Elephas maximus indicus: one gene and its partner. The protein of the gene in region 1 interacts with the protein of each later gene in a biochemical or structural test. Links are inferred from orthologs where the notes say so. Each region holds a gene or a part of one and is shown on either strand. Other genes may lie near its edges.

What was found.
Region 2: of the proteins of HTRA2 (region 1) and CSN2, one has a biochemical effect on the other in vitro, tested with the Homo sapiens proteins (2 studies listed by BioGRID). The link is inferred for Elephas maximus indicus from reciprocal best matches to the Homo sapiens genes HTRA2 and CSN2.

The regions. Positions count from the first base shown.
Region 1 is NC_064835.1:61,301,635-61,317,082, reverse strand, and holds HTRA2 (serine protease HTRA2, mitochondrial), read left to right. Parts: upstream 1-7,819; 5' UTR 7,820-7,882; coding exon 7,883-8,385; intron 8,386-8,487; coding exon 8,488-8,692; intron 8,693-8,781; coding exon 8,782-8,976; intron 8,977-9,190; coding exon 9,191-9,223; intron 9,224-9,427; coding exon 9,428-9,551; intron 9,552-9,711; coding exon 9,712-9,781; intron 9,782-10,425; coding exon 10,426-10,521; intron 10,522-10,642; coding exon 10,643-10,808; downstream 10,809-15,448. Other genes in the region: ATP-dependent RNA helicase DQX1, read right to left, coding at 1,030-1,221, 1,306-1,464, 1,569-1,668, 1,761-1,994, 2,339-2,723, 3,118-3,311, 3,557-3,793; lipid droplet-regulating VLDL assembly factor AUP1, read right to left, coding at 4,752-4,788, 4,890-5,008, 5,197-5,312, 5,413-5,532, 5,662-5,764, 5,872-5,938, 6,186-6,259, 6,355-6,427 and 4 more; LOXL3 (lysyl oxidase homolog 3), read right to left, coding at 11,395-11,468, 11,649-11,760, 11,870-12,006, 12,084-12,199, 12,459-12,702, 12,900-13,062, 13,199-13,366, 13,594-13,748 and 2 more.
Region 2 is NC_064823.1:88,171,037-88,186,560, forward strand, and holds CSN2 (beta-casein), read left to right. Parts: upstream 1-8,476; coding exon 8,477-8,527; intron 8,528-9,535; coding exon 9,536-9,583; intron 9,584-10,776; coding exon 10,777-10,818; intron 10,819-12,191; coding exon 12,192-12,713; intron 12,714-13,306; coding exon 13,307-13,312; 3' UTR 13,313-13,335; downstream 13,336-15,524. UniProt on the Homo sapiens protein: Important role in determination of the surface properties of the casein micelles.

The DNA of each region.
Region 1 (15,448 bases):
GAAGTCCCATGTGTTTCAAAAAGCTAGGAAGCTACTTAAGGAATTCAGCTGAGCAGTGATAAGGATCTAACCTTGGTACTGGCAGTGAGTGTGAAGAGCAGCAGATGAATTAAATTAAAAAAAGGACCCTGAAAAAAGATTAATCTAGAAAGATGGTAGTGGAGCTGCAGAGATGGTGTTATCTGAAACTTGAAGAGACAGAGGAAGGAAAAGATTTTGTGGTGGCGGTGGTGAGGGGGTAATTTAAGAGAGTGCATACTTATTTGAGGTACTGTGAACTCTTCTGGTAGAAATCAGGAGTCAGATATATATAAATCTAAGATCCAGAATGGTGTTGTCAGAGAGATGCAAGGTTTGGAAGTTTTAAGTATAAAGGTGGCAGTCCACACCATGGATGTTGATGAACATGCTCAGATAGTTCAGGGAATGAGAAGACAAAAAGGGCAAGGACAGAACGCTGAGGACCAATTTACAGTGGATGGGCAGAGGCCCAACAACCCAAGGAAGAGATTAAGGGAATGACCAGAGAGGTAGGATGAAAATCACAAAGAGTAGTATCACAGAGGCTCAGGGAAGGGACAGTGTCAAGATGGGACTTGGTCAGCACTCCCAAATGTTGAAAGAAGTTTACAAATAAGGGCTCAAAAGCGTCTGTTGGATTAGGCATCTAGGAAGTCACTGGTGCACTTAAAGCAGTTTCAGTGGGCAGTGGGTCCTGACGGTGGAAAGCAGTGGGCGAGGAACACATTAGATAGAAAAGGATAGAGATGAAGCTGTAGTTAAAAAGGAGTATAGGGTTGAGGAAGAGGGGTGTGTGAGTGTTAACAACAGCTGGGAGAGATGTAAGTGTTTTGAGGGGAAAGAACCAGCAGAGAGAAAAAGCTAAAGGGACAGAGGGGAGTAAGAGATTAAGCCTGGTTCTTCAGGTGGTGCTGTGACGGGTGGGAACTAGAGCACAAAGGAAAGGGCTAACATGAGGAGGAGCAAAATACCAACAGGAAGGCTTAGAGCCAGAGAGGGGGCTTGTACCAGTGAGCATGGCTGCAAGGGTGAGCATCTCATCCACACAGTCAAACTCGCAGGAGGCCAGCAGGGCTTTGGCCAGCTCAGGGGGCAGGGGGAACTCGGATAGGATGACTCCCAGGTCTGACAGGTCCCCATCATCATTCAGGGCAGCCAGATAGTCTAAGTCTTCCAGTGCCTGCATCAGTGCTTCAGGAGCTGGTGAGGAAGCAGGGGTTGCAGGACCTGAGGCCTCAGAGCCTGGTACTCAGGTGGCAGGACCTGGGCAGGAGGCGTGCTCACCTGGCCGGTCCAGGAAGTGACACTCTCCCGGATCTGCAATCTGTCTCCTTTTTAGTAGTAATACCAGGGGGCTCAGATTCTCCTCACACACCCTGGGTTGGGGCATTGGGGGAGCCTCTAGTTCTAGAAAGGACTCAGGATACAGGCAGATGCAGGATCCTGAGGGGAGAAAGACCTGAGAAAGAATACTGCTGTGGATTTCTCAGGGCTTGTTTGTTGGTGCCTCTTCTCTGGTTTGCTTGCAGCGAGGGTAAAGCTCTCACCTGGTGGGAACCCTCTTGCCCGCAGCCGTCTTGCCTTGGCCTGACACTTGCTGATAGGCCTCAACACTTGGGATTCCTCTCGGATCTGAGGATTGTAAACCTGTCGTCCAACCCCCAAACCAAGGCCAAGACAGATCAGAGTGGGCCATTTCTATCCTTACCTCCCCATCCCCCCGTGTCTCCCTCACTCACACTTCGAAGTTCCAGTCCTGAGTCAATGACATGTCGGATGGAAGGGAGGGAGAAGGAGAAGTCAGCCAGCCAGTGAGTGACCACGACCTTTCGGGCACCTACATCTGTGTCCTCATATACAGCCTGAATGGCTTGACCATAGGCTGGATGAAGGGGCAGCAACCGTGGAGGAGGCCGTTGGGGGTCCAGGGACCCTGTGTCCCTGGACAGGGATTCACAGCACAGGGAAATTTCCTGAGGAGAAGTGTAGGGTATTAGGGCAGTTCTTATCTTTTTGGGTTACAGACTCTTTTAAAAAACTGATGAAAGTGATGGCCCTTCTTTTCACCCTGAAAAATGTACACACTCATAAAATTGGAAGTGTCATAATTGCAGGGGTTCACCGAATCACAAATCTCTTCATTAGAGGGATTCAGAAAGAGAGAGATAGACCTCTTCATCCTGAGATCCTTGAGTTTTTCCTCAGGACCCCAACAGAGAGCAAATACTACAGTTCCACTGTTGCCCCCTTTCCCCCAGGTCAGAAAACAGCCTACATGAATATCCCCTTTTGCAGTGCTTTTTTTTTTTTTTTTTACCTCCTCACTGGGCAGGTACACTAGCACATCACCTGGAGCCTCCTCTTGGCACAGCTCAAGCACAGCCTGGCAGGCAGCTTCCACCCGGTCAGCAGGGACACTGTCCCTGTAGAGGAGGGTGGGAGTCCCGCAAGGCTCTCTGGGAACATGCACAGTAGGGGGATTGCCCCAGAAGGCTTGGAGCTTGGGTTCAAGGGCTGGGTCAGTAATGACCACCACTCTGGAGTCCCCTGGGAGGTTTCCCAGCTTGGCATCTCGCAGCAACCCCTGGAGTGAATCCGAGGCCACTGACCGCTCCTGAGCCTCATCCACCACCAGCACGCCCCAGGCTCCAGTGCCCCGGGTTGAGGCCACCTCCTGCAGGAGCAGCCTGTCCCAGCAGAACCTGTTGACATTGGTAGCAGGGAGCAGAGGAGTCAGTGTGGACACTGGCCAGCCCCAGAAGTCCAGTGGAGCTTCTCCCCCAGGGGACCTAGATTTTGATACTGAAGTTCAGAAAGAGACCCTGTGACTGACTTCCTGAGTCTGTAGACTCATAACTGTGACCCCACAACCCCACTGAGGACACTTTGTTCACAGGCTATAGCCCAACTGGGAAAGCAATACTTTCGTAAATGTCTGAGGTCCCTGGGTGGGGTTAAAAGGGCTTTATTCAGCAGTTGCATCATGCCTAACTTCAAGGGTGAATTGGGCTGAGGGAGGGCATGGTGAGATAAGTGGAGCTTGTTTATGCAGAATGAGGAAAATTTGATTTGGACCAGGCCTGCAGGAGGCCCCACCTGAGCAGGGTGTCGGGCCCAGTGCAGTCCTCCTGGGGGATGCTGTATCCAACCTCGTGACCCAGCGTCAGGTCCATCTCGTCAGCCACCCGCACAGCCAGGCTCAGTGCTGCCAGAGGGTAAGGCTGAGTGACAGTTACCTGGCCCTTCTGGAAACCCCTGGCCAGCGCAAACTCTGCACACCACTGAGGGATCTGGGGTAGGAGGGACACCCAGTCAGGGAGATGAAGGACTTCAGTCAGATGTGCTGGGGGAGCTACGGACAATTTAATCTCCTATTTGGGAGTCCCCTGGTCCTTCACTAGCCACACTGGAGCCAACCCAGCCCGTATCCCTTTGCCCATCTCCCCCACGACCTCAAACAGCCCAGTACCCCTTGCCAAAGGAAGTGACAGTTCCCCAGCCCCTCCCTTTGTCCACTCCCAGAATCTCCCCGCACCTGGGTGCTCTTGCCAGAGCCAGGGTCCCCAGACACCAGCACCACTCCACTGGGGCTACTCTCCAACTGCTCCAAGAAGATAAAGCGAGCAGCCCAGATAGGCAAGGCTCGGCGCTGCTTAAGCAGCTCGTAGTAGCGGGAAGAGAAGGGGAGCCCATCAAAGGGGTTCACAGCCAGTTCAGACTCCCCAGGGTTTTGGCCAGACTCTTCTGCCAGCCCGAGGGGCTGTGAAGTCATGGTGGATGTTGGGCAGGACCTATAGAAGGCAGGGTGGCCAGTTAGGCCCCATATTTGGTAACTGAGTCTTCCCGCTTCAGCCCTGATCCCTAACCTCTACCCTCAGATACAGATGCCCTGGGGTCTATCCTTCCCAGAACTGCTTGCCTGCCAGGAAACAGTGCTGGGCGTTTGAGTATCCGACAAAGGGACTATAAAAAGTAGACTATTACCCTGTAGCCAGGTAGTAAAAATCTTGTGACTAATGCAGGGGTCCTCAGGGGTAGCAGGAATCTGGGTAGCAGGGCCAAAAGGATCCTTGATTCGAACCTGCTTGTAGCTCTGAGACGTGTCAGGATGGCAGCCAGTTCCAGAAGTCACCCAGCTAATTGCCACCAACCCTGACTGCATAAAGTACAAAGGTAAATTCTGGCTCCACCCTGGGACTCGTCTCAAACACAAATCCTTAAGCCTGATCTTGAGGTGGTGCCATTTGCTCCACCTTATTTAACTTACGAGCCTATTGAAAAAGGTTTCAGCCACCACACTGAGCATGTGTGAACCATATGCATGACGGGTCATCTGGTAGTGGAAGGCATCTTGGGAATTGCAGTTTTGTAGCTCTTTCTTCGCAAACCTGGGGTCAACACCCGAGCTGGGATCCGGTTGCTGGTGGGTTTCAGTTGAGTTACTCTTGGCCATGAGGTGATTTCAGACACTTCCATTCTGATCATTCTCCATAAATTCACAAGGAGGCCCTCACTCCCACCCCCACAACCAAGGGAAGGGACCTGCTCAGGGCTTTTGAGACCCAAAGAGGCAACAGAGACCTTGAATGAAAACCCTGAATTTAATGTGACACTGGAGGAGCCCCATCCCTCCCTTTATACCACCCACCCATCCAGCCTGTTGTGAATTGGGTGAGGGCTGCCCCCAGTCCCCGTCCTGCGGCTCTGGGTGCCATCCTGCTCCTCTGAGCTCAGTCAGCCTCCTGGGCCTGTCTCTCTGTGAATCTCCTGTGAACATAGGAAGAAGACATCGTGTGGGCTTTTCACCTGAGCTCCGTGATTCCTTTCTCTAGCCTGCCCTTTCCTACCTTGTCCTCTATCCTCCTCACCTTCTCGCGTATTCGTAAAGTGCCTGCTTGCGCTCCTGCAGGCTCTCCTGCCGGGCCCAGGAGGACTTGGCAAATGTTAGGGCTGTGGGCTGAGGGGTCACCGGGCCAGAGCTGGGGAACTGAGGTGATCACAATGTCAGAAGGCTTGCGAAGTCATCATCATTAAACACGCATCGAGTGCCTACTTTGTAAGAAAGGCACTGTGCTAGCGTCTCAGAATCAAAAAAGAGAGACCAGGGCGAAGGAGTATGAGGACACCCGTTCCCACCCCAAGTCTTGGGCCTGACCCTTATTTTCTGGGTCTCACCTTGGGGGAAGAGGCAGGGGGAAGGGACTGAGTCCCTTCAGTGATGTCTTCAGGCATGAAGGCTACAGCCCCCTCAAGGAGATTAGTGATGGTCAAGTCTACACAGCCGGTCCTGGCTGGGGAAGAAGAGAAAAGAAGAAAGGGTAGTCTGTTACTGCTCACCTTCTCCCCTCACAACCCTCTTGTCTCCTTGTCTGAAGCCACCCTTTCCCATACCCAAGTCTCTTTGGATGACACCCAGTGGCACATGGGGCAAAACCTCCTTGACTCTCTGAGCCAGAGTTGCCAACTGCACATCAGGAGAAAGGCCAGGAGAGGAAGAAAAAGAAGACTGGGCTGCCAAAAAAGAAATTAAAAACATGGTAAGTACAGAACCAGGAGAAAGGAGAAACTGACTAGCACAAGGATAGGAAGAAAATCACAGTAGGATGAAAAATGAAAAGCCTGTGTACAAGGACCACACACCTGATGAGGGACGTAATCTGGGGTGTCTTTGTCGCTTCATGTGCTCTGCTTTGTCTGCTGGAGTGAGCCGTGTACCTCTCTGGCCCAATTCCTTGGCCATTAACTAAGGCAAATTGGAAGGTTGGAAGTGTCAAGAACTGAGGCCTCAAGACTTTTTCCATCATCTTCTGGGAAAGACCCCAATTCCACCCTGCTTGTGTACCCCATCACCTGTTGTACCCGGAGAGCAAATTCCTCATTCCCCTCCCCAAGCTGGCGATGAACAGGCTGGAGCCACCTGCAAAGAATAATCCAGGGCCATGTTGGGGGCAGCTGGGGTAAAGGCTGCCATCCCCTCCCCACTCTTGGTACCTCTTCTTATGTAAAGTGGTGGTGAGGGTGGGACGATAATAAATACTTTGTGTTGCCTCTGTGGTGCAACCTTAACGTTAAAAAATCTGCAAGCAGACAAGGCGGAGGTATCTATCTCCTTGACCTTGAGGTAAGCTTCTCCCCAGCCACCAAAAAGTGAAGATAGTTAATACCTTACTTGGTACACCGTGAAAGGGACGAAAAGTGACCACAGCAGTTCTGAGACCCAGGAGGCATCTGACACCGTCTGAGGGGAGGGCATGACGTGAGTCCTGAGCCAGCGCCAGGGGTGAGAAACTTCCCCTCCAAACCCTAGAAATTCCTTGTCCAACACATACTCACCACAGAGACCAGGGGTCTCCGAACTCGCAAGGTAAGAGGCTGTATGACATCCTGGATAGAAAATGGCCAGGAACTAGAAGAAGGAGAGAATAGGAACCCAGCCCAGTTAGCAGCTCCTACCGGACTTAAAATAGGAAACTGTCAAACTGTACAACTAAGCAGATGGAGTATAGAGGGGTTCAGGGCAGCGAGGGCTGACCAGTAAGGTGAAAACCCAAGGGTCCCCAGGGCTGACCACCTTCCCAGTTGGAGCCCAATACCTGTGCTTACCCACCTGAAGTGCAGGAGACCCTCTCGGCCATTGGTGGCTTCCTCCTCAGGGAACAGCAGCAGAGGGGTTGGGGGAAGCCTCCTGGAAGCACAGAATCTCTTGAGTGACTCCACCAACTCCCCGCGTCCTTCCATCTCCATGAAGCCCCGAGACCAGCACACAAAGCTAGGAGAACTGTTGAGCAGAGGCTGGAAAGAGAAAGCAAGAATAATGGAGGGAAACGAGAAAAACTGACATGTGAGACAGATAAGTGGGGCTAAGGGTAAGGGTCAGTACCTTGTGGTCCCCAAGGGAAACCCGAATAGGCGGGCGGAGGGGCGGGCAGAGGGAAGCCTTAGAGCTGGGCCCAAGGGAACCGCCCCCGGGATGCTCTTTGGTTTCGCGCCCACTCACCGTGCTACAGTTGGTAAGTAAATTGACTATGTTGTGGTCGAAAGGTGTCACGTGGTTGGAAATGAGGACTCTGACGCGGTGATCTCGGAGTCTGGAGTCGTCCTGCCGGGCCACGAGCCCCAGCACCGCACACATGGTCCGCACCACGAACCTGGAGACATAGACGCCGGTGACTGCACGGCCTCGGGCCGGGCCCAGCCCTGACCCTCCTCGAGCGCCGGGTCGGAACCTGCGAAGGATGCTGTCTGGCAGCGCGCAGCTGACCAGGAAGACGTGGAGCCCGAGAAACAGGCGCAGGACTAGGAGGCAGAACCCGACGGGCGCGTAGAGCAGCAGCGCGAGGAGCAGGAAGCCGTCACTCGGGAGCCTGTGGGCGAGAAACAGAATAATCGGGCGCCAAAGCCGAGGGGACGCGAAAGTCGGCTTCTTCCCGCCGAGGCTCTTACCGGTGCGAGTCAAAGAGCCGCTCCGGCCCCGGTGCTGGAGGAGGTTCCATCGCTGCTGCTTTAGCGGTGCCCGGCCACGGTCGCCGCCATCTTCGCGCCCCGCCGCAGGGGCTCCTGGGAAGGCAGTCCTTGGGCATCCGCCCAGGGTGTCGGAGCCCGAAATCCCGCAGAGGCGCCCGGAAGGGCTAGTGGTCCCAGCATGCCCCGCGGCCCCTTGGGCCGCCTCAGAGCTCACGTCCCGGGGGGACCACAATTCCCAGCATTCGCGGCGCCGGGGGCGGAGTCGCCTCTCGGAATCCTGGGTCCCGGCGTGCATTTCTAGAGGACTTCAGGTACCGGCGTACCTCGCGTCCCGTCTGCTTCGTCCAGGGCACCGCCTCTGAGTAGGGCGGGCGAGGAGGCAGCCGAGGCGGAGCTGATGGCTGCGCTGAGGGCGGGGCGGGGTGCAGGCTGGAGCCTCCGAGGATTGCGGGCTTTGGGGGGAATTCGCTGTGGAAAAGGATCCCTGTTGACCCCTGACCTCCGTGCCTTGCTGACGTCAGGAACTCCTGACCCCCGGGCCCGGGTGACGTATGGGACCTCGAATCTCCGGGCCCGGTTATCTGCAGGGGTCCCTGAACCCCCGGCATGTCTGACGTCGGGGACCCCGGATTCCCGGGCACGGCTGACCGCGGAGATCCCGGATCCCCAAACCCGGGAGGCCTCAGGGACCCCTGGGACCCGTCCGCGTGTGTGGCTGGCGGTGGCGCTGGGCGCCGGGGGGGCTGTGCTGTTGTTGTGGGGCGGGGGTCGGGGTCCTCCGGCGGTCCTCGCCGCGGTCTCTGACCCGCCGCCCACCTCTCCCCGGAGCCAGTACAACTTCATCGCAGACGTGGTGGAGAAAACGGCACCTGCCGTAGTCTATATCGAGATCCTGGGCCGGTAACGGTGGGGGCAGAGCGGAAGGCACCGAAGCCGCGGGCCGGAGGGTGGGCGACAGGAGGGTCAGAGCCTCCTCACATCCGAGCTGTTCCTTCCTCCCAGGCACCCTTTCTCAAGCCGCGAGGTCCCTATCTCAAATGGCTCAGGATTCGTGGTGGCTGCCGATGGGCTCATCGTTACCAATGCCCATGTGGTGGCAGATCGGCGCCATGTCCGCGTGAGGCTGCCCAGTGGCGACACCTATGAGGCCATGGTCACAGCTGTGGATCCCGTGGCAGACATTGCTACCCTTAGGATTCAGACCGAGGTGGGGGTCAGGGTAGGCCAGGTCTGATTGGAGCTGTGAATTTGCCTCCATCTCCAGTTGACAGGTCTCTTGCACCCATTCTCCCTTAGGAGCCTCTCCCCACGCTGCCGCTGGGACGCTCAGCCGATGTTCGGCAAGGGGAGTTTGTTGTTGCCATGGGAAGTCCCTTTGCGCTGCAGAACACCATCACATCCGGCATTGTCAGCTCTGCTCAGCGCCCAGCCAGAGACCTGGGATTGCCCCAAACCAATGTGGAATACATCCAGACTGATGCAGCTATTGATGTGCGTCCTGGCCTGAGAGAAATGACAAACTAGGTTGGAGGTGGGAGGGAGCTGGTGTGGACACCAGCTGTGATAGGTAGTGGTTGGGCTCCAAACAGGTAGCCACTCATTCAGGGGCTGGGAGAAGAAAGAATTTGGAGAATGTTTACATCCCAGTTATGCCTCTAGGCTTGGAGCCCCGGGATCTCTTCCATGTTTTCTCCTTATCCTACAGTTTGGAAACTCTGGAGGTCCTCTGGTTAACCTGGTGAGTGGGACATCCTTCTAAGAATCCCTGCCCCAGGTCAGTGTGGGAAGGGGGGATTTTCCCTAACCGAAGAATGTTTGGTCAAGTTTCTGAGCAGTCTCTTGTTGGCTATCCCCCAATATCCAGCCAGATCTCCCTAACACTCCGTGATACTCTTGTTCAGGTACCCCCCATCCCCTACTATTTGTTTGGGCTAGGGAACAGGGGCCTGTGTCCCTGCAGGATGGGGAGGTGATCGGGGTGAACACCATGAAAGTCACGGCTGGAATCTCCTTTGCCATCCCTTCTGATCGCCTTCGAGAGTTTCTGCGTCGTGGGGAAAAGAAGAGTGAGCCTGATTTAAGGGAGAAGGGAGTTCCTTTAAGTGGTCGGTGGGGTACAGGGGAGGGGCATTCATTGGGACTTGCTGGGAGAGGGGTCTGTTAGGAGGAGTGGGAGGCGGGAGGAAGGATGTAGCTGGGTGGGGTTCATTTGTCCCTCTATCACAGATTCCTTGTTTGGAGTCAGTGGGTCCCAGCGCCGCTACATTGGGGTGATGATGCTGACTCTGACTCCCAGGTATGAGGGTTGAGGGTGGGCAGCTGGCATCTCTTTTGGGCTTTGATCTCATTCCTGTCTTTAGCCTCATTCCTGCCTCACATGTGGAGCTATTAGAGGAGCTGTCCCCTCTCACCACCTTGACATTTTCACCCCACTTCATTTTGCACACCTGCAACCAGATTGATTTTTATCCTGTTGCTGCTTTACTTTAAAGTCTTCATTCCATTCACCTGGAGTTTGAAGGCCATTTTCCATCTGTCTCCAGTTGAACCTCTCAGAGTTTGCTTCTATTACTTCCTATGTGAATACTGTTGCAGTCACCCTGATTGCCTACTGTTTTTATTTATGCTGTTCTTGTTTCTATAGTTCAATGACAGACCCATCTGATGTTAAGTCCCATTCTCTCCCAAAGCTTCTCTTAGGACTCTAGAATTATTTATGCCATTGATTTAACATCGTGTGTCATTTGGAATTAGCTATCTTTTACGTACACCTCTCACTACCTAAATGCTAAAAGGCAGAAAGTGAATTGTCTTTGTGTCTATAGTACCTAGCACATGGTCTGTCCATAGGGTTGTCAGTGTGTTGATGAGAAACTAAGGTGAACCCAAGATGGGGAGAGTACGTGGATGTGGCTAACAGGGTAATTTGTGTCCTTTCAGCATCCTTGCTGAACTGCAGCTTCGAGAACCAAACTTTCCAGATGTTCAGCATGGTGTGCTCATCCATAAAGTCATCCTGGGCTCCCCTGCTCACCGGTGAGGGCGAGACTGCCCTGTGGGGGGAGTGGGGTGAGGTGTGGGGGGTGGGCACGTGGGTAGGCATGAAGGCTGGGCTGTACACTCCCTCCTTTCTCTTTCTGACCGTCTTTCTCCCTAGGGCTGGCCTACGGCCGGGTGATGTGATCTTGGCCATCGGGGAGCAGCTGGTACAAAATGCTGAAGATGTCTATGAAGCTGTGCGAACCCAATCCCAGCTGGCAGTGCGGATCCGGCGGGGACCAGAAACACTGACCTTATATGTGACCCCTGAAGTTACAGAATGAATGGATCAGCAAGAGTCTGAGGCTCCTGCTGACTTCCTCCTGCCTTCCTGGCCTCAGCTCCGAGGGCACATAGGCAGAGGATTAAATGAACCAGTGGGGGCAGGTCCCTCCAACCACCAGCACCAATTCCTGGGTTCTGAAGACTCACAAAAACACTTTTTATATAAAATAAAATTATACCTAGCAACCTGTTATAGTCAAAACAAGGGGAGGGAGCTGGGTTTTTCCCCCACCAAAAGGCTAGAGGTAAGGCTGTATCCCCCTCTGAACTGAGGGGAGATACTGGAGCTGACCGTCTTGACCTCCCCATTCAAAATAAGTAGCCACTGCCATCTGTTGTTATGGGCAGTTAGTTAGGCGCTGCGTTGTGATGGGCTCGGCTTGGTGCTGGGCCACAGATGCTGACAGCTGGCCTAGCAGGGAGGGTGGTGACTTCTGCTTGGCAGTTCCACATCCCTAGGGCACAGCTGGGGGAGTGCAGTGAGCCTGCTGACATCAGGGATCCCTTGGTAAGCTCCTGAGGTAATGGCAGCCTCGGACCCCTGCCATTAGGGGCCAGTGGTGGTTTGCAGAGGGTGGTGGCACCTTAGATGATCTGGTTGTTGGTCTGGCCAGGGTAGCGCTCAAATCTCTTGTTGGCTTCTTCACTGAAGGCATCACCTGCAGAGTAAACAGGTGGTGTGGGAGGCACTCTGGGCAGAGGCAGGAAAAGAGACCCATTGTGGGGCAGGGTGGATCAAAATGGAGAGGCTGAGAGATCCAGAGGTGGGTGGGAAGACAGACAACTTAGTCAGGAAAAGAGAACGAAGGCCTCCCCCTCACTGCTCATCCATCAAATACCGATGTGGCAGTTGTGCACCCAGATGCGATGTCCGTCGTATTTGCAGTTACATTTCATTGCGTTGTTGGTGAAGTCACTCTCAGCTACTTCAAAATTTGGGTTGATGACCACCTGTGAGTGCGAGAAGGGCCATTTCACCCAGTTGTAGTCTTCAAATCCTAAGGTGCCCCTAACGTTCCTCCCACTTGTCATCTGGACATCTCAGACAGACCCCAAGCACCTGTAGAATGTAGTTTCCTGGCTTCACATCTGTGATGTCGATCCACTGACAGTCGATGTCATGCCGGTAGAGATCCCAGCAACCCACAGTGATGCCCTGCTCTCCAAAGTTGGCGCACTCATACCTCTTGGCGACATCTGAAGGGGTTGGTATATGTCAGTGTGAGGAAAGGCTGTGGGATGGAGACACTAGTCCATTCTAGGCCCCAACTCACCCTCATAACACTCAGTATCTTCTAGACAGAAACTAGCTTTGTGGCCCTCAGCCACCTTGGTGCCATTGGGGGTCAGAATATCGTAGTGAGTGAAGATGTCCATACTGTGGTAGTGCCTGTGGGGACAAGGGGCAAGAGAACTGTTTCCTTCCCTACCTGCAGCAGGCCTGCCCACTCCCTGTGCTCTTGCCTTTCTTCTTTTTTTTAATTAATTTTTATTAAGCTTCAAGTGAACATTTACCATTCCAATCAGTCTGTCACATGTAGGTTTACATACATCTTACTCCCTTCTCCCACTTGCTATCCCCCTATTGAGTCAGCCCTTTCAGTCTCTCGTTTGCTCTTGCCTTTCTACTTGATCCCCTACCCTCTCACCCATGACACTCGTGCCACACCCAGGAGTGGCGGCCAGCCTTAGGCCTGAAGTCAGCGCGTCCCAGGTTGTGGATCTGGGAGGAGAATCGGAGCAGACGCCGGTGGCCATAAGGCCAGTTGGCTGAGCGGGCCGAGCTGGCCAGGCAGTTCTCCTCGGCAGCACAGTACAACATGTGAAGGGGCCGGTCCTCGATGTAGGCCGTCTCCTGTACCAGTGCCGAGTGCAGCAGCAGATCGGACGCAGCTGCCCCAGAGAACGAAGGAGTGTATTAGAAATCACTGCTGAGGAGCAGGGACAAATGGGGGTGCTTCTGCCCACCCCTAGGTGTATGAGGCTGATTTTCCATGGGGAAGGTGTACCCCTCCAGATTTCAGCCCCCTCTTTCCCCACAAAGGGGTGGCCCAGACACACGGGCTTGCAGCACCCTACCCTACACTCACTCTCAGAACAGATGACTCCAGCGGTAAAGCGGGTCCCTGTCCTCTTGCAGGTGATGTGGGGGCTGTGATGAGCACATTGGTCTAGGGACAGCTCGGTCCCTGTGCAGCGCACTCCACTCATCACCAGCTCTGTTATATTCCCCGAGTCCCAGTACCAGGTCTCCTGGGGACATAGGTAGATGGCTCCTTGAGGCCCCAGAAACCAGCCTCCTAGGCCAAGGGATCACATCCACACTCATCTGCCCCAGGCAAAGGCTTTGGAGGTAATGGCCTTGGCTCCCTCTCCCCTTCCCACTCACCTGCAGGCCATGGCTGGCGTAGCCCAGGCCGAGTTGTCTACAGGCCACCATGGCTTCCAGTGTCCCCCAGTCATCCCCACAGATGAGACCCCAGCGAAGGGCCCCAGGTCCTCCAATTTGCACCTCAACTCGCCCCTCATATCGACTGCGGCCCCCACTGAGTCGGATCTGTGATGACGCATAATGGAGGTGTTGGGGGAAGCTTTTGGACCGGGGTGGAAGTCTGTGGTTTGGAGGCACATAAAGAGCTAGATAGTGGTGGTGGAACCAGGCGGGAGCTGCAGGATGGCAGGCCCCTGGCATAGTGGGCTGGGCACATCAGACTGCAGGTTGGAGCCCAGGGCTGGCTGGGATGACTGGTGGAGACCTGAACCAAGGGGGACAGTATGACTGACCTTGGTCTCCACCCCAGTGTACGGCAGGTTGCATCGGACCCCAGCATCCCGGCTATGGGAGCAGTCCTCAGCTGTGATGTTCTTGTGGGGGCAATTCCAGATGGAAGGTTCCTGTCCAGAGCATCGCACTTCACTCAAGTGGATGGCACCCATGCCTAGGGCCAGATGTCAAAGATCAGGAGGCTGTAACTGCACCTTCACTGTCTGCCCAGGGGTATCCTAACCTTCTTCCCAAGGAAGGTACTCCCCCCAGGAGTATATACCTCCTCCTTCCCTCTCCCTTCCACCTCCATGCCCCTCACCCTGCCCCATGCGGGCACCACTCAGAGCCTCTTGAGCGCTCCCGAAGCCCAGCTCCCGACACACCACGCTGGCTGCCAGGAGATCCCACTTGCGGTCACAGACTGTGCCCCACGTGCCAGCCTTCAAGACTTCCACCCGGCCCTCTCCAGGGTGGGATCCACCCTTTAGACGCACAAGGACCTACAGAGGAGAGAGACGTGCCCAACAGCAGTGAATGGAAACATCAGCGTGGAGAGGATTAAATAGACATGGGCATTGCATGAGATTAGTGGAGGCAGGGAGGGGAGGTATCAGGTCTGTGGCCACTCCCTGGAATGTTCCTCTCTGTCTTCGAAGGTCAGGGCTGTGCTTAGTCAGGGGATGGCCAGGCTAGGGGTTTTTCCACCTGGGGTGGGGAAGATCATAGTCATTGTCTCACACACCTCCGCCTGAGGTTTCCACTGTTGTTGCTTCTTCTGGCCACTGGAAGCAGCGTAGAGAGGGCCTGACACACAGCTCACCACCGCAGGGGCCCCTCCAGGGCACCTGATCGTGTCATTGGCACGATAGAACTCCAGGGAGCAGAGGGAGAGGTGGGCCTCTGTGCCCACACACGCCACCCCGTGCAGACCAAAGAAGTGTTGCTGCCGCTGGGCCAGCAGCCTGGGGGGACAGGAGTGGGGGACAGCAGGATGAAACAATGCTCCTGCCTCTCTGCCCACACCTTCCTCCCACTCCATGCCTCACCACCCTGCAACCTCTCCTGACCACTTTCTCCCTTCTTCCCTCCTTCTCTTCTCTGTTTCCCTCCAAAGAGACAAAGGAAATGCCAAGTTTCTGGGCTGAAAGAGCCTAGAGTACCCAGACAGGAAGACCCCTGGGGACCTCTGGCAGCAGAAGAGCCCTATGGGAAGGATGACTAGTAGTGATTTGCCTGACAGAAACCTTGTTCCAAATAGTTGGCCCTAATGGAGGTTGAGGCTAAGGCTGTGTTGCAAAGAGAAAGGGGGGCCAGGGCTGCCCAGCTGGATGAGATGGCCAGGAGGGTGTGGCTGACACAAACAGGAAGCCTGAGTAGCCAGAGCGAGCGATCCCTCTACTGTGCTGAGACTGAAATGAGGAATGAGTCAGGATCCAAAGGAGTGAGCAAATCCAAATGGCTTCTTAGGGGCCAGAGGGGCTTCCAGGCCAGAGAACGCAGGACAGAGTATGATGGGCAGTTACAGGAAGAACAGACCAGAGAATGGACACAAGAAGGACTAGACTGGCAGATGCAGGAATGAAAATGCATAAATGCAGGACAGGCAAAAGCTGGAGCAACCACGTGACCAGAGAAGAAGGGCAGATGTGACCAACAAACGGTAAAGCTACGCCAGGCCCTGAGCCAAGAATGACAGTCTTGAACAAGTCCATGCTTCTTCAGTTTAAACGTAACAGAAAGACTGTTCCCTAAGCTGCCTGAGCAGGAAAATGGGACTAAACTAGAGACGTTAAAGGTTGGAAACACGACAAAGAAATGCTTGAGTGAATGAGGGGATTTGCTTGTCAACATCAATGGAGCAAGAGATTGCAA
Region 2 (15,524 bases), on another chromosome or scaffold:
ATTCTAATGACAAGTTTATCTTTCCATTGCCTAAGATACCCAGTCCTATCTCCCTAGTTGAGGTCATCATCATGTCTGGTTTATTCTAATGTAATAACATCAAAATCCTACATCCTTTACTGAATTACTGGAGTTGTTATATAGTCATAGAATTCAAGTAATTTTATATACCTTCCTTCTTTCACATCTCTAATATCTTCCCCTTTTCTCAGTGAATTATGTCAGACCCCATATCTGAAACTCAAAAGTATCAGTGTCTGACCTTTGCAATAATAATGTATACTCTATACCTCCATGCAGCCTAAAATCTGAAACCCATAAAGCTCTGTCTTGCTCTTTATGTTCCTGTATTTTCTTAGCTTGAATGTTTTATTCCTATTTCTTCAACTCTTAAAATTTCACTTATTCAATGCCCAGCTAAAATAACATCGCCTTAGTGAACATCTCTCCCTCCCTATAGTTAGCAGCCAATTTCCTATTCATCCAACTGGTCATCATTTCTGCATTTTTAAACCAAAATAGTAAATTGACAGCTAAATATTTTGACGACATTTCAGTAAGTTTAACCACAGGCTCTGGGCACTGCATGTGATCAAATAGAATCATTTGTGATTAGACACGTTAGGGTTTAAATGTTATCTCTGTCATTAACAAAATGATTTTGAGCAAGTTGCTTAATATTTTAGTATCTGTTTGCTCAATCAAAATATGGAGATGAGAGCTGCCTCATGACCTTTTTGTTTTTGTGAGGATTATACAAGATAATGTCTGTAAAGCCCTTAGTGCCTGTCGTGCGGTTAGCAGTAAATAGCACTAAATAAAGAGTATATTCTTTTTTATTATTATTATTATCGCTGTATCTTAAATGCAAAAAGATAATCAGTATTTGTCAAATAAGTCTCTATGGCATTTTGAACAACTTTTTTAATAGATATACCCAGGATTTTGCCTATACAATCATCAAGAATCCTTCTCTGAGTCGTTCCATTACAAAAGAGGGTTTATTCCCCTCATATACAAAATCTTGATTTGAATTGAATAATTTACTTCCCCAGATCAAATAATTCTGGGAGCTAAGCAATTTGCCTTACATGACTCAGCTATCACCAAGAACTTGCCTATTTTCTCCGTTTCTCCATTGTAGGATAAAACACTAGTGGCTGCTCAGGTTAGGATGAAATGTGGTTTTTGTGAAGTCCCGGAATGTCTCTGGTGATTTCAGAGAATTTCTCCTCATCGAGGATCTTATGGTATTAAAAAGACTGAATTGTGTGCACAATGGCTTGATGATTGGGCCAGAGTGCCACTGCCCACTAGTTACTGTATTTAGTTTTTGGACAATTGCATTTCCTAGACAAGTTTCCTTTATCGGATTGTGAATTGCTGCCTTGTTGAAATGCTCCCCAGATTTCTGAGGACAGATAACTGGGAGAAATCGTTTTCTAGCGATGTATACTTCTTGGAATAGAATCTCCCTATTGATTTTATTACAAACCACAAAATTAGCATGTCATTGAATGAAGTGTATAAACAGCCACAAAAGCAGACAGAACATCAGCTACTCAGCTCCACCTTTACTTCTTGTCCTCCATCTTGGAAAAAGGTAAGAATTTCATATATAAGTTTAATATATTCCCTTTTAACCACTGATTTCAAGGTAAGTTGAGATATAGAAAGATCATAATTGTTTAAAATATATTTTTTCTTTTTTTAATTGTGCTTTAGGTGAAAGTTTACAGCACAAATTAGTTTCTTATTCAAAAATTTATTGCAAGTTTCGTGACATTGATTGCAATCCCCGCATTGTGTCAGCATTCTCCCTCTTTCCCTTTCCACTCTGGGTTCTCCACGTCCGTTCATCCAGTTTTCCTGTCCCTATCTGCCTTCTTTCTTTGCTTTTGGGCAGGTGTTGCCCATTTGGCCTTGTATACTTGGCCTAAAACCATGCTCCTCACATGTGTTATTGTTTGTTTTATAGGCCTGTCTAATCTTTGGCTGAAAGGTGGACTTCAGGAGTGGCTTCAGTTCTGAGTTAACAGGGTGTTGGGAGGTGGGGAACATATTCTCAGGGGTTCCTCCAGTCTCTTCAGACCAGTAAGTCTGGTCTTTTTGTGTGTGTGTGAATTTAAATTTTGTTCTACATTTTCTCCTGCTCTGTCTAGGACTCTCTATTGTGATCCCTGTCAGAGCAGTTGGTTGTGGTAGCCAGGCACCATCTAGTTCTTCTATGCTCAGCCAACGGAGGGTGAGGTTCATGTGGTCCATTAATCTTTTAGACTAATATTTTCCTTGTGTCTTTGATATTCTTCATTAACCTTTCCTTCTGACAGACAGGACAAATAGATATATCTTAGATGACCACTGGCAAACTGTAAAAAAATTGTAAAAAATTTTAAGATCCCAGATGCTACTCATCAAAATAGGATGTAGAACTTTTTTTTTTTTTATGACCTATGTTATGTTAATTGACAGAGATCCCCCCCTCCACCAAGACTATAGTCCCCACCCCTTAGCCACAGTAACTCAGTCCCTCAAGGTGTTTGGATGTGTACAGCAAACTTCCATGTTTTTGCTTTGGTCTGGTTATGCTAACTTCCCCTATATTGTGTGTTGTCTTTCCTTTCACTAAAATTAACACTACTCTACCATCTAGTTTTGTTGAAACATCCCAATTGATATTCCATCAATTCCTGGAGCCTTGTTTTTCGCCAATGCCTTCAGAGCAGCTTGGACTTCTTCCTTCAGTACCATCAGTTTCTGATCATATGCCACCTCTTGAAATGGTTGAATATCGACTAATTCTTTTTGGTATAATGACTCTGTGTATTTCTTCCATCTTCTTTGGATGCTTCCTGCATCGTTTAATATTTTCCCCATGGAATCCTTCACTATTGCAACTCGAGGCTGGAATTTTTTCTTCAGTTCTTTCAGCTTGAGAAACGCCGAGCGTGTTCTTCCCTTTTGGTTTTCCATCTCCAGCTCTTTGCACATGTCATTATAATACTTTACTTTGTCTTCTCTAGAGGCCCTTTGAAATCTTCTGTTCAGTTCTTTTACTTCATCAATTCTTCGTTTTGCTTTTAGCTGCTTGATGTTCGAGAGCAAGTTTCAGAGTCTCCTCTGACATCCAGCTTGATCTTTTCTTTCTTTCCTGTCTTTTCAGTGACCTCTTGCTTTCTTCATGGATGATGTCCCTGATGTCATTCCACAATTCATCTGGTCTTTGGTCACTAGTGTTCAATGTGTCAAATCTATTCTTGAAATGGTCTCTAAATTCAGGTGGAATATACTTAAGGTCATATTTTGGCTCTCACGGACTTACTCTGATTTTCTTCAGTTTCAGCTTGAACTTGCTTATGAGCAATTGATGGTCTGTTCCACAGTCAGCCCCTGGCCTTGTTCTGACTGATGATATTGAGATTTTCCATCGTCTGTTTCCACAGATGTAGTCAATTTGATTTCTGCGTGTTCCGTCTGGCGAGGTCCATGTGTATAGTCACCATTTATGTTGGTGAAAGAAGGTATTTGTAATGAAGAAGTCATTGGTCTTGCAAAATTCTATCATTCAGTCTCTGGCATTGTTTCTATCACCAAGGCCATAGTTTCCAACTACTGACCCTTCTTCTTTGTTTCCAACTTTCGCATTCCAATCACCAGTAATTACCAATGCATCTTGATTGTATGTTCAATCAATTTCAGACTGTAGCAGCTGATAAAAATCTTCTACTTCTTCATCTTTGGCCCTAGTGGTCGGTGCATAAATTTGAATAATAGTCATATTAACTGGTCTTCCTTGTAGGTGTATGGATATTATCCTATCACTGACAGCATTGTACTTCAGGATAGATCTTGAAACGTTGTTTTTGACAATGAATGCAACACCATTCCTCTTCAAGTTGTCATTCCCAGCAGAGTAGACTATATGATTGTCCGATTCAAAATGGCCAATACCAATCCATTTCAGCTCACTAATGCCTAGGATATCAATGTTTATGCGTTCCATTTCATTTTTGACAATTTTCATTTTCCTAGATTCATACTTCGTACATTCCAGGTTCCAATTATTAATGGATGTTTGCAGCTGTTTCTTCTCATTTTGAGTCATGCCACATCAGCAACTGAAGGTCCCGAAAGCTTTCCCCCATCCATGTCTTTAAGGTCGACTCTACTTTGAGGAGGCAACTCTTCCCCAGTCATCTTTTTAGTGCCTTCCAACCTGAGGGGGTCATCTTCCAGCACTACATCAGACAGTGTTCTGCTGCTATTCATAAGGTTTTCACTGGCTAATGCTTTTCAGAACAAGCCTCCAGGAATTGATGGAATGTCAATTGAGATGTTTCAACAAACAGATGCAGTGCTGGAGATGCTCACTCATCTATGCCAAGAAATATGGAAGACAGCTTCCTGGCCAACTGACTGGAAGAGATCCATATTTATGCCTATTCTCACACGCAAGCAAAATTTTGCTGAAGATCATTCAAAAACGGCTGCAGCTGTATATGGACAGGGAACTGCCAGAAATTCAGGCTGGTTCTAGAAAGAGGACGTGGAACCAGGGATATCATTGCTGATGTCAGATGGATCCTGGCTAAAAGCAGAGAATACCAGAAGGATGTTTACCTGTGTTTTATTGACTATGCAAAGACATTCAACTGTGTGGATCATAACAAACTATGGATAACACTGTGAAGAATAGGAATTCCCGAACACTTAATTGTGCTCATGAGGAACCTTTACATAGATCAAGAGGCAGTTGTTCAGACAGAACAGGGGATACCGATTGGTTTAAAGTCAGGAAAGGTGTGCGTCAGGGTTGTATTCTTCTACCATACCTATTTAATCTGTATGCTGAACAAATAATCCAAGAAGCTGGACTATGTGAAGAAGAACAGGGCATCAGGATTGGAGGGAGACTCATTAACAACATGTGTTAGGCAGATGACACAACCTAGCTTGCTGAAAGTAAAGAGGACTTGAAGTACTTACTAATGAAGATCAAAGAGCACAGCCTTCGGTATGGATTACACCTCCACATAAAGAAAACAAAAATCCTCACAACTGGACCAATGAGCAACATCATGATAGATGGAGAAAAGATTGAAGTTATTAAGGATTTCATTTTACTTGGATCCACAATCAACAGCCATGGAAGCAGCAGTCAAGAAATCAAAAGACGCATTGCATTGGGTAAATCTGCAAAGGACCTCTTCAAAGTGTTGAAGAGCAAAGATGTCACCCTGAAGAGTAAGGTGTGCCTGACCCAAGCCATGGTATTTTCAATCACATCATATGCATGTGAAAGCTGGACAATGAATAAAGAAGACTGAAGAAGAGTTGACTCCTTTGGACTGTGGTGTTGGCGAAAAATATTGAATATACCATGGATTACCAAAAGAATGAACAAATTTGTCTTGGAAGAAGTGCGACCAGAAAGCTCCTTAGAAGCAAGGGTGGCGAGACTGCATCTTACATACTTTGGACATGTTGTCAGGAGGGATAAGTCCTTGGAGAAGGACATCATGCTTGGCAGAGTACAGGGTCAGTGGAAAAGAGGAAGACCCGCAATGAGGTGGATTGACACAGTGGCTGCAACAATGAGCTCAACCATAACAAGGATTGTAAGGATGGCGCAGGACCGGGCAGTGTTTCATTCTGTTGTGCATACGGTCGCTATGAGTTGGAACTGACTCAACAGCACCTAACAACAAGAACAACTATCTAGTTAGTGGTTTGACCTCCGTACCCCTCCTCTTTCTCATAACCATCAAAACTGGTTTTTTTTTTTTTCCTGTCTAAACCTTTTCTTGGGTGTTTAAATAGTGGTCTCATACAATCCTTTTGTGATTGACTTATTTCACTTAGCATAATGCCCTCCAGAGTCATCCATGTTGTGAGATGTTTACAGGATTCATTATTGTTCTTTATTACTGTGTGGTATTCTGCTGTATGTCTGTACCATAATTTGTTTATTCATTTGCCCATTTATGGGCAGTAAGTTTGTTTCCATCTTTTCTGCTATTGTGAATAATGCTGCAATGAACATGGTTGTGCTTGTGTCTATTCATGAGATAGCTCTTATTTCCCTAGGATATATTCCTAGTAGTGGGATTGCTGGATCGTGTGGTTAAAATATTCTCTTTGGAATAAGAATGTTTAAGATAGTTCAGACTATTTTCAAAACTTAGATTAAAAAAAAGAAAAATAGGAGCACCTGGTAGGATATGGTAAGAATTATGACCATATAGACTTAATGAGTTCAAGAAAATGTATTAATTTTAAATATATATATATATTGTTTTAGGTATATATGTATATATATACATTTAGTACAAGGCTAGTTAATAGGCTATATTAAGAGGAAATCAATTTCTTGAGTTAAGTCTTCTGATTTGATTTAAAACATCACAGTCATAAAACAAATATATTAAAATTATACCGAGAATGCTTTCATTGGAGTTTACAGAAGTAGTATATTGAGTAAAAGACTCAATATGGCTTGACATGTTTTAAAATAATTTCATTTTATGAAAAATTTGTCTACAACATCCAACTTTCTAGTTTATTACCTAGTTTATAATATTTCAAAATAATATTAGGATAGAGATGTGAAAATAGAGAATTAAAATAAAAAGAAATAATGTACTTGATGTTGTAAAAAAATTTAACATTGCACAGAGATGACTTGGTACCAAATAACAAAGAAAAGGTATGATTTGGAAAAAAAAGAGCAGCTTTTAGTGTTGATATCAGTCAAAAATGAAGTTCTGGCTGAAAAGCTTGTATATAAATTTAAGGAATGCAATAGGATTCTCCTTATATGGAATAATTTCTAACAGACTATCACATTCTATATTTGAATCCTGACAATACAAATTTATTCAGAAGTTTATGGAGATCTTAAGCCAAAAAAAACTAAACCCATTGCTGTGGAGTTGATTCCAACTCACAGCGACCATATAGGAACGACTAGAGTGCCCCTAGGTTTTCCAAGGAACAGCTGGTAGGTTCAAACTGCCGACCTTTTTGATCATCAGCCAAATGCTTAACGATGGCATCATCAGGGCTCCATGGAGATCTTAAAGAAAGTAAAATAAATAAATAATTATATAGCCACCGTGAGAGAAATCTAGAAAAATGTTTATTTTCTCTAATAGAAGAATTAAGTCTTGAAATATTAGAAAGGACATTTTACAGATGATTTAGGGACTTTTTTTATCTGAAATGTGTTTAGTTTACAAATTTAGTTTAATAATCTGAGAATGAAGTTTGTGTGCCTCGGGATATTATATCAAAAATATAATTTTTTTCACACAAAAAAATATATATAGAAAATGCAGCGAAAGCAAGCAAAAAAGCCCAGTTAGTAAGTACATTTGCGTCAAAAGTGTTATATACATTTCACCAGAAGAGATAGTGAGGAAAGGGTAGGATAGGGAGTCCAAGAGGACCTGACCTCTTGGTAAATCATCTAGAGATTGTTGGACACATTTTACGGAGAGAAGAGAAGCGGCATAACATAGGCTTTCTAGAATCATGTGATAGAAAAGAAAAAAGACATCATTAGGTTCATGGGGGTTAAAACTCCTTAAACCCAGTACCCAGTTTCCTCGAGTCGATTCTGGCTCATAGCAACCCTATAGGACGGAGTAGAACTGCCCCATAGAGTTTCCAGTGAGCGCCTGGCAGATTCATACTCAACCCTTTGTTTAGCAGCCGTAGCACTTAACCACTGCGCCACCAAAGACTCCTTGGTGGGTACTAATAGAGAACAAACCAATGAGTCCAAGAAAGCATCTGAATAGAAGAATAAATATAGGAAATGCTTAAGTTAAAACCTCAGTCTATTGGAGATAGGAGATGTGATTAAACTATACATTCATTGAAACCCTTTCATCTAATAAGGGAAAAATAAATATAAAATATGACCTGGGAGAAATCATCTTCTTCACACACATTTTCCTTAATTAGTCTTCGCCCCAAAGAACTAAGCCTCCATCAGATCTGAGACCTTACAGCTTTTATTCACCGTCTCCCCAGCATATGAACACTGTCTGGCAATATAATGTGCTAAATGAATATTTTTCAAACATGATCAATTAAAAAGTCTTTCTGTAAATATCTATAACATCTTTATACCTATCTAAAATAAATTAATAAGTGAATGAGGTGAAAAGAGTGGGTGAAAGGTTTTAGAGAGCTGAAAATATCTGAATGGCTGGCAATAAAATTTGAATATGATATGTAAAAACAGGGAGCCACAGTAAGATTTTGACTTTGATCACATAATAAAACCTCTATCCATATATATTTTTTCTATAATGCAGACATTTTTATGACATGTATTAACTTTTTAAAGGCAAAAAAATAAATAAATAAAAATAAAACCTACCTAAATAAGAACTAGATAAGAAAATACATCGGATTGATCCAGTATGTTTCTGTTTCTCCATCTTCCCTTTCATAGGAATTGATTACCATGAAGGTCTTCATCCTTGCCTGCCTGGTGGCTTTTGCTCTTGGAAGAGAGGTAAGTACGGAGAGAAGTTTCTAGATAATTAACACATAATGGGCTACCGGACTAGGTGTAGAGAATAATATCACCAACACTCTTAAGTATTCAAATAATGCAGAATTTTGGCAGAATATTTTGACTTCTGGAAGAAGCCCTCGTGGTACAGTGGTTAAGCAATCAGCTACTAACCAAAAGGATGGAGGTTCAAACCCACCAGCCACTCCGTGGGAGGAAGATGTGGCAGTCTGCTTCTGTAAAGATTATATTCTTGGAAACCCAGTGGGGCAGTCCTACAGGGTCACTATGAGTCGGAATCAACTTGATAGCAATGGGTTTCTTTTTTTTTACTTCTAAGAAACTGGTTTACATACACCCAGTGTCTCAACTCAGCTGCCTACAGGGCCACAAAGCTGTGCTGAAAGCTTGTAATGCCTCGTCTACCAGTCCCTGGAGGAAAAATAAACAAACTAATAAGCAACAAAGAAAACAAGGAGGTGAAAGAATTATAAAGGCAACAAAAAAGAGTATTATTGCACAAATAAAATTTCATGGTTGTGAAACTTACATAAAAATATGTTATTCCATGCTAAAATATGTGTATTCTTAACTATAGGGCACTAGATCAAATCCTATCTGTGTCTGTCCAAAGACACACAGAGAATGGAGTATCAGGCCATACCCAGATAATCATAATAAATGGTTTAATGCAGTTTAAAATAACTCATTTTCTATTACTCATCTAAAGTTTTGTGCTGTATACAGGTAGCATAATAATTCTGAAATAAATTTATGAAATAGATAATTCTTCATAAAGGAAGTGACGAAAAGTAGGAATCATGATTAATAGTGAGTTAGCCATAGAAACTAAAATAATGTTTTTTCTTTTACAGAAGGAAGAAATTATTGTATCTACTGAGGTAAGATATTTAGATTCAGAGGAAGTTTCCCAAGGACAAAATAGTAACATTCTATGGTGATCTATGACAAGAGTCAGCCAGTTTTTTTTTTTTTTTTTCTTTACAGACTGTAGAAAATCTTTCAAGCAGTGAGATAAGACAATTTTATTCAGAGGCGATTTCTCAATTTTAAAACATGCTATGCTTATCTTTTTATTATGTTACATTATGGTAGTTAAGCTAATTTAACTATGTTCTGATTTACAAATTCTAATGTAAATTTCTAATATAACACGTTTATGAAGACTAACTGTCTGGAGAATTCAGTATTATAGTAGTTTCTAGGTTGGCTTCCTACTTGAATTTGTAAGTCACTTTGCTCTCTTTTTATCGATGGTACAATCTGTTTTGTCTCTTCACTTTTAACTGAGCTCTCTCTGCTCTGACTTCATTGTTTTGATAGCCATTTGTTGAGAGCCTTCTACAGATGACATTGCCTAGGAGTTGATGATACAAACTGAAAAGTTAAGCACGTCAATTCCGATAGCAAAGAGATTGTAATGTAGTGGTTAGGCAAACATGCAAATGGACATATTTTGTAATTACAATTGTCACTTTAATAAGTAAGAAGCAACGAGACACAGACAGTGTAGTTGTAAATCTGCCAGGTGAATTAGGTAAATATTTACCCTTGCACCACTATTTTTGGGTCTATCTTTACCTGCTAATTAAATATATTTTTTTCTCTTCAAAAAGTTTGTGAGATCCTTAGGAGAAATGTTTACTTCTTATCCTTCGTTGGCATACATATTGTTAAGCCTAGCACATAACAAGTGAACTTAGAATGATCAATAGGATAGATCAATGGTTATTAGAATGTACTTTCAATGAATATTATACTTTTAGAATCAGATAGGGTACTAGAGATCACTTCTTGTCATAGGAAGGATAAGGGTAGAGAAGGATTAAATTAGCATCTATTAAATACATCTTTTTATTCTATGTTCACTAGCTTTCTTTTCTGATTTGATTGCATTTATCTATCTGTATGTATATACATAAACAGGCTTATATAGAACAGTGTAACCTATTAGTTTCAGCAATTATCCTAAATCTTGACTGATATTATTTAATAACGTGTCCATATTAACCTATCAAAAGCCTTTGTTTTCTGAGATATATTGACAAATAAGAATTGTTCACTTGACTAGAAATCATTAAAACTCAACCTTATTTTTATTTTTCTGAAGGAATCTGTTACACAAGTCAACAAAGTAAAACCTTCACATTTAAATGTACATATTTTCCAAAAATTTCCCATGTTTAATTTTCACATATGGTGATAGTTTTTTGTCATTTGTTTTTTAGCAAAAACCTGAGGGAGTTAAGCATGAGGAACAGCAAAGAGAGGTAATTTGCTCATGATGAGTATATTTCTAAAGTTTTTAGGAAGTATGATACCTACGAAAATATTTATTCATTAGAAGAACTTATATGTTCAGTCTAAAGAATGGTAATAAATTAAGTGCTGTGTACCAACCAACCAGGGTAAGAATCAGGCATTGACAAAGTCATTATATTTTCTCTGACATAAATGCAGTTTTTAAACTCATAATCTATTCCCAGAGTACAAGTTAAATCCCTAAGACTAACTGCATAGTAGGAGGAATATTCCTAGGTCAGAAACTATGCTCATCTTATTCCCAAGGTAGATATGGTAATGAAAAGGAATAGGGAAGCAATCTGGCACAGAATCCTAACTTACTCACTTTTCAGTTGTGTAACTTTGGCCTCAAGTTTTCTGTGCCTTACCTTCTTTATCTGTAAACTGAGAATATTAATAACAATATTTATACCATAGAGTTGATGAGCTGGCACATAATAAATACTCAAATGGTTTCATACTAACATTTATTGAATATATGAATATATGATATTTTTAAGAATATTTCCATTACAAAGATGAGAGAAGAGAGGTACAGAGCAACTGAGTACCTAATTGTGTAACAATATCAGAAAGTTATTAAGTAGCAGAGTTTACTTAAAAATGAAGGCTTTTCCTGAACAACATAGAATTCTATATTTAATCAATTTACATTTATAGTAACATATTTACCTAATTGTAGTATTTAGGATCCCCTGCTTCATCTAGGAAGATGGATTGTTTGGTGCTCACACCAAATATTTATTAAGTTAAAATGAATTTACAAAATTGTATTTCTTAAAAGATTCCAGCTAGTTACCTTCTACCAAGGAGAAGAGTTGGTTAATGTTAAATAATGTCTTGAATTTTGCCAAAAATTAAGACTGGCTTTTCATTAAAATAAAGCAAAAATAAACCTTGGCATTATCCTTCCGAATCCTTTAAAAATAGATTCCTCTTTATTATGTGAAAACAATTGGGTCTATTATGAACACATGTTGAAAAGCCCATGTCTTCAGAAGACCAAAGTGAACAGCTACAGTTATCTAGGGAACTGGAAAAGGTGGAAAATGTCTTGAAATCTCCAAGCATTGTTTTCAGCTTGAACTGTGGGTTCACCTATGAAGTGAGTGGATTAATGAGAAATCCTCAAAGAGCATTTTACTCAATATTCTTCCCATAACTCAAAATGATTTCTTAACCAAGATAAGTGCAAGGTGTTCTATCTTTATTTTCACTCAATGACAACTATGTGTGTTTTGACAACTATGATTCTCCAAGAGGGAGAAGAGATTAATTCATCATGAATGACAATAATAACTAAATCATAGATTCAAAGATTCCTTTTCCTTCTTTCCAGGATGAACATCAGAATAAAATCCAGCCCCTTTTCCAGCCACAGCCTCTAGTCTATCCTTTCGCTGAGCCCATTCCTTATACTGTCTTTCCACCAAACGCCATTCCTCTTGCTCAGCCTATTGTGGTGCTGCCTTTCCCTCAGCCTGAAGTAATGCAACTCCCTGAAGCTAAAGAAATCACCTTTCCTAGGCAAAAATTGATGTCCTTCCTTAAGTCTCCAGTAATGCCCTTTTTTGACCCCCAGATCCCAAATCTTGGGACCGATCTTGAAAATCTGCACCTTCCTCTGCCTCTGCTCCAGCCCTTAAGACACCAGCTCCACCAGCCTCTTGCTCAGACTCCAGTGCTTCCTCTTCCTCTATCCTTGCCCAAAGTCCTGCCCGTTCCCCAGCAGGTGATACCCTATCCCCAGAGAGGTAGACCCATCCAAAACCTTCCACTGTACGAAGAGCCTCTATTTGACCCAACCCGTAAGATCTACCCAGTGGCTCAACCACTTGCTCCAGTTTATAACCCTGTTGCTGTAAGTTCAAATCTACTTACTGAGTTGTTTCACTCATGATGTATGTGTGATGTTAGCATAAAGGAGAACTCTAGAATTAAAAAAAAAAAAATGCATACATGAATGTATCCCAAAAAACACACAGTTTTAGATCAGTGATTCTCAACACAAATATGCAATAAAATCACCTGAAGGACATTTTTCCTCCACCAGAGAGAATTCCAATGCCTAAGCCTATCCACAGGGATTATGGTATAATTGTTCTGATTTTTTGGGAGAAGAAACAGAGTGTTGGGAAGAGATGCTTTCAGGGATTCTTATTTAACTGGTTTGTTGAGAACTTCTGAATTAGGTAAAGAAGATATGGGCTTTTTAAAGCCAGAATTAAATTTGATAATCTGATTGGGTTTGGAATAAAGACAATTTATTATTTTCTGCAGTTTTGAGTTTTTCTTGTGTACACCTATTCCCCATGTGCCTTTATTTTCCTTCACAATACCTTAATCTTGATATATACATAGGATGTTTATTTCATTACTCAAAGCATTCTTAGGGCAAGTATTCTTGCCAAGCTGTGAATTGTATATTTATATACATTTTTGCTTATTTTTAAGGTCTAAGAAGATTACAAAGTTAATGCCCCCTTCTTACTTCTGGTAAGTTTTGGGAGCTTGGGAATTAAACTAATTTTTCCTATATTTAATATTTTTTGGCATTTCATTGTCTTGGATAAGCCCAAGATAGTATAAACTCCATCAATATATTAACTTATTTATTTGTTAATTATCAGTTTATTCACAATAGTTGACTATTATTTACTGACCTGATTATATATCCTTTGAATTTCAATTATTGCTTTTAATTTCATTTATGGCTATTGCCACAGATTTGACTGGTTTGCTTTCAAGTAGCTTATACTTGATTATCACCTTTTTTAGGAACAACAAAAATAATTTTCTTCTACTTTCATATAAATATATTTGAGGTATTTTTAAAGATAAACTTGCATTTTTATATCTAACTTGGACTTCATAAGATTTTAATTGTTTTTATCACATTTAAAATTTATATATTTTCTTTTGATTCATGAGTCAAAATAAAATTATTTGGTCCAGGTGTGAGGGCTAAAAATGGAAGAGAGGCTAGCTTTGGGATTCCTAAGACATGAATTCTTTCATGATCATGACAGACTAGATATTTCATGAAAACAGTTCTAAGTGAGCTGATATTTAGTCTCCTAGAAACTTTTATATGCTCCCAAAGAAGGGCACAGCAGGAAACATTTGTAATTAAATTTCTCTTATGAGTTAATCCACTAAATTTACACATAGGAAGAAAAGAGCAGTTTTATCATTTACCATAACTAATAATATATAAAAATATATATATATATTTTCTCTTTATTCCACAGAATTGACTGCGACTGGAAATGTGGCATCTTTTCTTTGTATCGTGTTATCAAAAATGAGTTATTTTTGAATGAATCTACATGGAAATAGCCAAACATTATTTCTTCATTTATTTTGTGCATTGTATGGGACTCCTCTTGATTTGAATTTTACTCATACATTCTTCACACTCTTCAATTTTTAATTCAATTAGTACCTTATAAATTCAATTTTGAATTGGCAACCGTATAAACACATATCAAAAAATATGTATAAAATAGTTTCTGAAATTGTGCTTATTATTAGTTCTTTAAAAATGTATTTCCTTTCCAGTCTTTCTAAGAAATTAATCTTTTTAGGCATATTTATGTTGTCCTGTCTTTATTACAATTTTATAAAAGCAGTTAGCCACTTTAATGATAACTTTAGATTATTATTGGTGTTGAAAATAAGTATGGAAGAATGCTTTGAAATTGAGTGACTGTATCATTAGAAGGATATCAAAAAGTAGAGGAAGAGATAGAATGATCATACATTCCAGTTTGCTTTACAATGTCTAGGTTTACATCTATTGTCCCAGTTTAATTGTTATGACTGTGCTTTTCACTCAAAAGTAGCTGTAATTAGATGTTAAATTGTATGGCCACACCTGGGTAGCACAATTAGCCCTTATCTACTAGCCTAAAAATTGGCTTCAAACACATTCAATGGTGCCACAAAAGAAAGGACTGGCAATCCATTTTATAAAAATTACAGCCAAGAAAACTCTATGAAGCAGTTCTACTCTGTAACACATGATGTCTCCACGAACCAGAATTAAATGTTTTGTTTTTAGGGAACGAATTTTAAATGTGAAATCTGAATCACGACTCTGACACATAATAACTAAGTTAGGTTAAAGAAGTTAACCAATCTCTCTGAGCTTCAGTTCTCACATCTGTAAAATACTAATTCAAAGGTTTTTAATAACAGTGATATGATTACTGCACTGTATTTTTTTTTATAGTACATGATAGGTAATCCCTGTTGCTCAACATTGCTCACATACTTACACCAGAGCAGTAGGAGCCAGTATCCCATCCAGAATAAACTGGGTTACTTAATAGCAATGCCAAAGAAAGTACGACCTACATGAAGTTCTGATATTCATTCTTTCTGAATGTGGAGTAAATGTTTCATTGTTATGATTTGTCCTTCGTATACCAACCCCTCCTCATGTAACGTGATTTCACATCCTCAGATATACACAATGAGTTGTATCTAGCAATTTTTCTTGCATCCTAAAAGTTTTCCTCATCTCCAGGGATCAAGCAGGAGCCCCAGCTGGAAAAGAAAATAAGGCAGATCAGAATAGCATTAAAAAACTAAATTGTCATAGGAACTACAGCTCAAAAAAGGAAACCAAGATCAATGTGTTAACATAAATAGGGCTACTACCTATTGA